2 linked regions of the Bombyx mori genome follow. The protein of the gene in region 1 interacts with the protein of each later gene in a biochemical or structural test. Links are inferred from orthologs where the notes say so. Each region holds a gene or a part of one and is shown on either strand. Other genes may lie near its edges.

Region 1 (4,619 bases):
ATTATTTGTGTTATTATGGTGTTTAATGAGTCATTTGTCTAGTCTCTATAAATTGTACTTTTTATTTTATTTTTATCTCTATTTTTTAGAAATAATATGTTGAATTTATTATAGTTAGTTCCATTTGCAAGCGTGACTTGTATCATTTTAGTTTGGAGACATAATTTCAATGATTTTCTTCTGTTTAATTATATATATAATGGAACACTATAATAATGGAAATATTTTGCTTTCATGATTAACTAATATTTTAACTTACCCCTTCATAAGTCTTTGCTTCTATGCCGATTTTAATATCTAAGCTTACTTGATGTGGAATACCTCTTCTTTCTGAAAAAATATATGAGAAATTTAAATAATCAGGCTTACTATTGACACTACCTACCATCAGAGAAGAGTTCATTTAAGTACCTGAAAACACTGCAATGCATAATGACGAAAGGTGAAGTAATTCATCATAAATATGAAGAATCAAATATTTTTAACAAAACTACTTGAATGGACGATTTTGAATCAAGAAAAACCCAGTATATAATAAAATGAATGCCACAACAACAACAAAATCATAACAGTTTCAAAGCTACAATCTGAGATTGTGATGGAGAAGAATAGGCTAGAGCAGATTTTTGATGATCAATAGATATCAACAAGCCCACAATATCAGACAAACTCTTACATTACATAAATAAATAGATAAAAAGTTTTTGATTAATTAAAGATGTTTCGTTTTAAAGCCAAAGCCTTCTCAGAAAGAGGCTGCTCAGAAATAGACAATAAAAAACAATATAACATTACTGGCTAGCTATATTATGTTTCTTCGGATAAAATAATATTGAAACATAGAAAAAATAACATTGTAAATCATATTTACCTAAAACTGAATTACAATGTTATTCTTTGCACTTGTCGAATTTTCAGTTGCATATCATAGCATAGCAAACCAATAAACTAATAGTATCACCTTTAAAAGGCAAGACAGCAAACATTTTATAATTTGAACGTAGGGTATAAGTATATTTATTTATTTTGTATTTTAATTAAAATTAACATTGGCGGACTTAATGCTTAAGGCATTCTCTAACAGTCAACCAAAGGTAGTGCAGAGTAAATAGTGGTAGGTGCAATGAAATTTATATTAGGTTACGAATACATACAAAAAAAGTATATCTACATATATACAAAATCACATATACATATACATACATACATATAATAGTTTATACAGTATTAAAAGTATAGTCCCCAGCTAAGTAAAAAAAAACCTTTTCTATACTATATCAGTTAAGTGAATTATATAAGGGCTCAGTGGTGGGGATTGGGAGAGGCCTATGTACAGCAGTGGACGACTGGGGGCCGTTGTTGATTATGATGATGAATTATATCTGGAACAGCCGGCTAGCACTTTGCTACCCACAATAAGACATCAGGTGTTGCAAGAATGAGATCTAAATGGCCAATAGATTTTCTGTTTTAATTTTTTTTGTATCAATTACAGCTATTTGATCTCATCAACTTCACTGCTGATAGAGAATAGCTGACCTGAGAATGCATTTAGAAGGGAAATAATAGCAGTTGCAATGCAATGCCTTTATAAGGGAAATAATAGCAGCAACAAGGCTAGATTTGGATACCAATAACATATTTCGATTATGACTTCTGTTAGTGAAATCAGAAGGCTTGATTGCTTTGAGGGACAAGAGATAGGAGAGGCCTACACAGATTTACACAACATTGTTGCACCTATAAATTATGGGGTTGGTTCTTGTTTATTTGTGTACATAACTTCGATCAACACAAATATTATTAAAAGAAAACCCTTCAAGCCCTGGTGAAAAGGGTATTTAAATTAATGGTTAATTATGCTGTATATGTTTTTTTACTAGTGGTAGGATGTATTATCAGTCCACATAAGGGCCCACCATCCTGGTTAGTACTGCATTGAAATAGTCATATGATTTGGTGATAGATGACAGCATTGGCATTGCTGGGACTTTGAAGTAACCAGCCGATCATAACTAACTGGTCCTATAGTACTAACTAGAGTAATCTTTTCCTGCTCAACATTATAATCTGTCTATTAAAAATATCTACGGGGTAGATCATCAGAAAGGCTATTTGAGCAAATGCCTTTGCAGACTAGTGTTTTACTTAGACTCGTAATACTTAAAACATCAGAAGGTATATTAAGTAGCAGTAAACTGTGACCTACTTTTCTATGCTGATCTCTATGTACTTTCTAAACTAATCTAAAGAACCTTTATTAAAATTAAAATATTAAAGAATTATTCAGTTAGTTCCGAAATAAAATTACCTGATGGTACTTTAGATATAAAGCAAACTTCAAACATATCATAATTCTCTGTGACGAATGAGAACTTTCCCTTTGTTACTGTATCTTTCTGTGATAAGATGTGCCCCTTCGAGTCTTTAATCTGTAATAATTGAAATCATTATTGTTTCTGTCTTTTTTTTGAGTTACACTGTTCGTTTATTCCTGTTTACAAAAAAAAATGTCTATTTTCAAAAAAGTAGTACCTACATTTTTTCATTTTCAAATATTTCTCTGTAAATTTTTTGTTTGTATCCTAAACGATAAATATCTAGTGGTGTACATAAGCCATGGCGTTTGAATATTACAAACATTTTTGGTTATGTCAGAAATTATACTCACAATATAGTCAACTCTTTGCCCCTGTATTTCTGTCACATCATATTCTCCTGCAACTAACACGTTGGCGTGTAATTCTTCTTTCAAACACTTGTGTGTGTTCGGCGCCAAGCTCCACATAATCGCATCAGTTCCATGCCAGATTAAGCTCAGTAACAACACGAGATATTGTACCTCCATGTTTATTGTGGTTATATATTATCTATCTTGCAATAAATAAAGCCGAATTCATAACATTTATGACCGGAAAACAAACATAATCTCTAATTTTACGTCAAATAGACCGATGAGTTGGCTAACGTCGTCGACCTTTTGGTTATTTTTTTTTTGAAAAATGTAATTGTGTTGCCAGGTTTCATTTCGGCGACTTCTAGCAAATTCTGCGTGGAATGGATTCTTTACATTCCTTTGAACTTGATTTAGCAGTTTTATACCCATACTGCTAGGTAGGTACTTACATTATAAATGCTTTAATATTATTAGAACAATAGGTTTAATAAGTACTCACAGTTTAATTTCTATTTTTTTGATCGTATCAGAAAAACAGTGATCAGTATCAGTCGATATTAATTTTTTGTCTTGTGATACATACATACATATTTGATTTAAATTAATTTGAACCCAATGTTTTGCGAAACACTTTCAGGTGGGAAATAGAATCTAAATTTATTCAGCCAAGCTATTTCTCGAAATCCATTTTTTAAAAGCTTGTTCCATTTCCATTTATTGGTGCACGTTATTTTCCAACTTTCTATCATAGCTGAATACAAATGGCAAACAAGAACATAAATACATTTTCTCTTCATGGATGAAAGAGACAGCGTTAGCTGATATTCTAAATTTAATTCAGTTCACAATAAAGCGATTACTGCGTTTCGTCGAATTCGAAAGTGCATTTTGCATTTTCAAGGAAATTAAAGAAATAACCTTAAATTAGTTTTTTTGAAACCATTATTGCTTAGAATCGCAACTTAATAGAACTTATTACAATATCTACTACTTAATTAATTTTCAAGGGACTTTGAATAGCTGTGTTGTGAAATAAAAGTGCGAAGATTATAAATTGCATCTGACTGATTGACAGATGCATAATTTATTTCTGTAATTCGAAAATTGTTTTGTGCAGATCTTGATTAAATGATTTGCCGAAAGTACGGTACGTCGATGCTTTAGTGACCGTAAATCACATTAAAATATAGGTAATTTCGGTGAGTACTCATTTCTATCTGTGCAAAAGTAAGTTTACATAATCTTGCAAAGTTTTAAAAATTACATCTTAACTAATTGATCCATAACGATTTATTTTAAACATAAAGGAACTTTTATGATATTAATAAATAAAAGTAAAATAATGGATCCAAGCTGTTAATTAAAATAAAATACTCCATAGATTTCCTTACAAGATTTTTATTGTAAAGGATCTGTAAGATGACAACAACAAATCCATAATAATACAACTGCTCATTACTAATTGTATAAAAAACTTATTTTACAATAGTTATATTAAAATCGGAAACTATTATTTTGAAAATAGGGTGATTCTTGCCATTATCCCACATCTTGCGATGTCAGTGCAGCATGTTCTTTTATCATTCTATTTCAAGCTATACTTTTCCTAATGATGTTATTACATGGTGTACATAATACTGAATGAACTTTGCAAAACGTAGTCCTTAATTCATTATGACGAGTTTAAAAAAAATAATTATTATATCTTACTTATATTTTTCTATAGGTTTTCAACCAATTAATATTATGAATGTGAAAGTTTATAAGTTTGGATATTGTTTATGCGATCACTCAAAAATTACTCAAATAAATTTCACATATTTAAATAGTTTATAACAATTTTTTTATCATAATAACAACATAACCTGAACAATGCTGTTTATATTCAATTGTAATTAATAAGATATGAAAATTCATAGTTTGTGATTTTACCAAAACCTTA
Region 2 (4,392 bases), on another chromosome or scaffold:
TCTAGGCGTTTATCATATATATGTGTATTTATTTAAACATATTTAAGTATGTTTATCAGTCTCTGGTTTTGTTTTTCTTGATTTTCTTTGTTATTTTTTCCTACCTAATCATTGGTAGCCTAAGGGGCTAACTTCGCGTAGACTGGTAGGTGAACTCACGGGCTCAACCTGGGAGAATTGCTAACACTAGCTGTGGCAAAAGCAGTGCTTCACTGAATCTACTACCGGATCGGAATGGCGGCCCGCTGAGAAGATCCGGCGAGAAACTCAGTGGGTTGGGAATCTCTGGTACCCATAACACAGGGAATGCTAAATTAGAGCAGAATGACTGTGTCATTTGTTTTCAGTAATAAAAAAACTTTATCTTATTTAGTAATCATTTTATATCTATTTATTAACAGAGACTGTGACAATCTTGACTGTGATTTTACGAAGCTTTTTCATGGCTTTTTCATTCTATGATCAAAGACCGATAATAAAATCTGTCGACGTCGCCTTCTGCGAAGCACTGCCCTTGCTAGGACCAATGTTAGCAACACTTCCAGTTTGAGCCCCGTGAGCTCATCTACATGTTAAGGTGAAGCTGAAATAGCCTCTCAAGGCGTTAGGATAGGTTGGGGAAATAATAATAATAAAACCTAAGACAAAGTTAAAAGTATTGTGGTTATTGTAACAGCTTGACAAAGAAAAGAAAATTATGGAACACATCATACCTCATTTTCATGGGAGCTTCCCATAACATAGAAGAATAAATCTACGTTACTTTTATAAACACAAGTAAGACCATCCAGCATTATGATTTCTGCATTTGCTCTGTAAACATATATAAAAAAAACTAGTTTTAAAAAATATTTATTAAAATATCCATAATTTTCTTAAAATATTTACAGCATTGTTCCAGTTTAATTATTGTTAACTTAAAATAATTTTTATCTATGAATTATCATGATTGCCCTAAGTTTTTTTCCCTACCTATTCTAGTAAACTTGAGGGGTTATACTAGATTATCCAGGTGAGTAAGTGAGCTCACGGGGCTCAAACTTAATGAGATTACCCTATAACTTTTAATATAAAAAGAAATTATATACTGATTCTACAACTTGAGATGGATAGTTAGTTTATGGCTTGTCATTGGTGAGAGTTACATTATAAGAAGTTTTCCAGACAAGCCAAAATATTAATATTCGTTTATATAATTATAATTATATTCCAATTGAGAAATTATGTTAGTTTTAGTGTCATGTAGTTAATATTGACCTGTGAGTCTTATTGAACAAGTTCTTCTCAAATGCCTTCTGCTCCTTAGTTGTGGGTAGGACGTCTTTATCGTAATATTTGGCCAAAATTCTGTTTCCTTCATAGTCCAAAATGCACATCCCCTTGACAATGTACAATGTGGGTTCCTAGAACATGAAAAACATTGAAATTTACATAATGATGTGTGGCAAGCATACAAGTGTACAAATACCTAATACCTTAGTAATACCTAATTTGAAATAAGTATTTTTGCTATCTTTGCTGTGAAAGCAGTATGGGTTCCAATTTGGAGAGTGAGTGATCTGTTATATAATTCAGAAATAAAGATTTCAACCCCATCTCGTGAGGTAGGGCACAGCAATCTTGCTGTTGTCCGTGAGCTCCACCGGTCATTTCCAAATATGTTTTTTTGTAGTCTCTTAATCATTATCCCTAAAGGATCAAGTTTCTATCAGACTTAAAATTTAGAGCATAATTTATTCAAGGTCCTAAAAGTGAAGAAGTCTAAATATTAATAGCATTTTTATATTCAGACCACCTTATAATAACGAGATTATTATTTTAAAAAGGGACAGGTCTGTTGACAGGTTAGCTCTAGTTTTTACAATCAACAGACCAATACAAAGTATAACAGTATTTTAAGGTGTAAGGATTATTAGTGTTTTTTTTTTTTTTATTGACTTTGTAGGCAGACGAGCATACGGCCCACCTGATGGTGAGTGGTTACCGTCGCCCATGGACTTCAGCAATGCCAGGGGCAGAGCCTAGCCGCTGCCTACCGCTAATTGTGAAGTGATTGTTAATTAACTCTGATGCATTGTTTGCTTTAACGTTTGCTGATTACAGATTTGATAGTTATCAAGTATACATTCCTCTAGCATTGCCTGTACTATATTCTGCCTCCTAAATATTCGCTAGTAGCCTAGAGGGCTATTCAAGCTATGCCCAGACGGGTAAGTGAGCACACTGGCTCAACCTGAGAGAATTTGCTAACACTAGTGTTGGATGGTTAAATTTGAGGGATTGGGTTCTGTAGGTTGATGAGGGGCTATTTAAAAACACACTGCTTCATTATAATTATATTGCATATAGTTTGAACACTTTTACACCATTATACAATTATTATCTTTATATTTTTTATAAAACTCTTACATGTTGTTCTGACCGTGTCTAGATGAGAAGTACGACTTTTTCTTAGGAGAATACAATCATCTGTTTTTTAAACATTTAAAATAATTCTAATATTCGAAATCTGTAATCATGTGTCAAGTGTTGCCTGCCATTACATTTATATTCAAACTCCAACAACTAGCCCTAGTAAGAGCAGTGCTACACAGAATCTACCACCGGATAGGGAACGCGACCCACTGAGAAGATCCGGCGAGAAACCGTGGGTTGCATTTATGGGTGTACTAACACGTTGTGTATTAACTACTAAAAGATACAGGTATCACTATTCTTCTATCTTGTGTTTTGGTTGAAATGTTTTTAAAGTGCAAAATAAATCTGTTTGAAGTTAGAAAATCACTTACGAACAGAGAACCTTCCATCGTTGTGTGAACCATTGTGTGGGTTAATAATTTTTCACTGTATTATTATTTTAAAGAATTAAAAATTCCACATTAATTAACCAACAGCGACAAACTCATCCGCGTTGACGTGTTTAAGTTTGACATCTGAACATCTGGAAATATTCACATTTTGTCAACTCGGAAAGGCAAAGGGAAGCTACAAAATCTTTTGAATTGTTGGGTCGACAAGTTGGGTTTTTTATGGAAAAAGTAATATGATATGAAATCTTGTTACATACACATTAATAAATAAAAGACAGAAGCATTTAATAAGTGAATCGTAAAATTATGCCTCCATTCTTGCGCATGTGAGATTGAATGATTTGGATGAGTCGTTTCTAATAACTTTGTATCAATTTATTTTTAAACAATTAAGGAAACGTATGTATGTACTGTAGTAAAAAATATATATATGAAAAAATATTTTATTTTTAAAATTTGGGCGTTAATATTAATTTTTAAGTGTGAATTTGATAATGATACTGGGAAATTAAGTAAGCTATGTACAGAGAACAACATCTCCTTAATTTCTGAATCTGTTTCTTTACGCACAAAAATATATTTCAATTAAAATTCTGAACACAAGCAAGTATATTCAAAAGATGTTAGTACTTTAAGAAAATTCAGCGTTTCTACCGATATTTTTTTGTCATAGAAATCTACATACTATCAGAAATAGCAAAAAGAGCCATCTAGTGAGTCTCGTGGAGACTATTATATATTCGACCGCAGTGTATCTTTGGTGTAAGGCAAAACTGTAGCACACAATATTACCAAAAACTGTTTAATATTATTAAGTAAATGTGGATGTACCTACATTTGTAACGTTGCAGAGCATTCGCCCGTCATGACGTATGCAAGCGTAGTGTTCGCTCACGTAGCCCGCACCCACTTGAAATCCCTTCAGGTTATTCAATCCCGATTCTGCAGGATAGCCGTCGGAGCGCCATGGTTCCGGAGGAACGTGGATCTCCACGATGACCTGGAGCTCGACTCTTTTAGTAAGTATCTACAGTCGGCATCGCTGCGCCATTTTGAGAAGGCGGCACGACATGAGAACCCTCTCATCGTAGCCGCTGGAAACTACATACCCGACCCAGTAGACCGAATGGTAAACCGTCGACGTCGCCCAAAGCACGTCATTACGGATCCTCCTGATCCATTAACGATGCTTTTAGGCACCACAAGCACCGGTCACCGTCCTCGTCGAACCCGTCGCCTGCGACGAAGGGCTCGACGAGCGAACTAACCCATAGAGACAGCCCACTGAGTTTCTCGCCGGATCTTCTCAGTGGGTCGCGTTTCCGATCCGATGGTAGATTCTGCGAAGCACTGCTCTTGCTAGGGTCAGTGTTAGCAACTCTCCGGTTGAGCCCCGCGAGCTCACCTACAAACGTTAGGGCGAAGCTGAAATAGCCTCTCAAGGCTATCAGCATAGGTAGGAAAAAAAGAAAAAAAAAAGAGTATTCGCTGGCTTGTGTATGTTTATCGACTATCGATATGCCCACTCATCTACTACTAGTACTACTACTATGGGTTGCTGTTGTAAAGATACCGATTGTAA

The links.
Region 2: the proteins of transmembrane trafficking protein precursor (region 1) and COPZ form a complex in vitro, tested with the Homo sapiens proteins (2 studies listed by BioGRID, with this or other methods). The link is inferred for Bombyx mori from reciprocal best matches to the Homo sapiens genes TMED10 and COPZ1.

What each region holds. Positions count from the first base shown.
Region 1 is NC_085131.1:11,843,914-11,848,532, forward strand, and holds the start of transmembrane trafficking protein precursor, read right to left. Parts: upstream 2,976-4,619; 5' UTR 2,849-2,975; coding exon 2,672-2,848; intron 2,433-2,671; coding exon 2,312-2,432; intron 331-2,311; coding exon 260-330; intron 1-259. UniProt on the Homo sapiens protein: Cargo receptor involved in protein vesicular trafficking and quality control in the endoplasmic reticulum (ER) and Golgi.
Region 2 is NC_085108.1:4,788,487-4,792,878, reverse strand, and holds the start of COPZ (nonclathrin coat protein zeta 1-COP), read right to left. Parts: upstream 2,942-4,392; 5' UTR 2,823-2,941; coding exon 2,790-2,822; intron 1,404-2,789; coding exon 1,258-1,403; intron 814-1,257; coding exon 714-813; intron 1-713. UniProt on the Homo sapiens protein: The coatomer is a cytosolic protein complex that binds to dilysine motifs and reversibly associates with Golgi non-clathrin-coated vesicles, which further mediate biosynthetic protein transport from the ER, via the Golgi up to the trans Golgi network.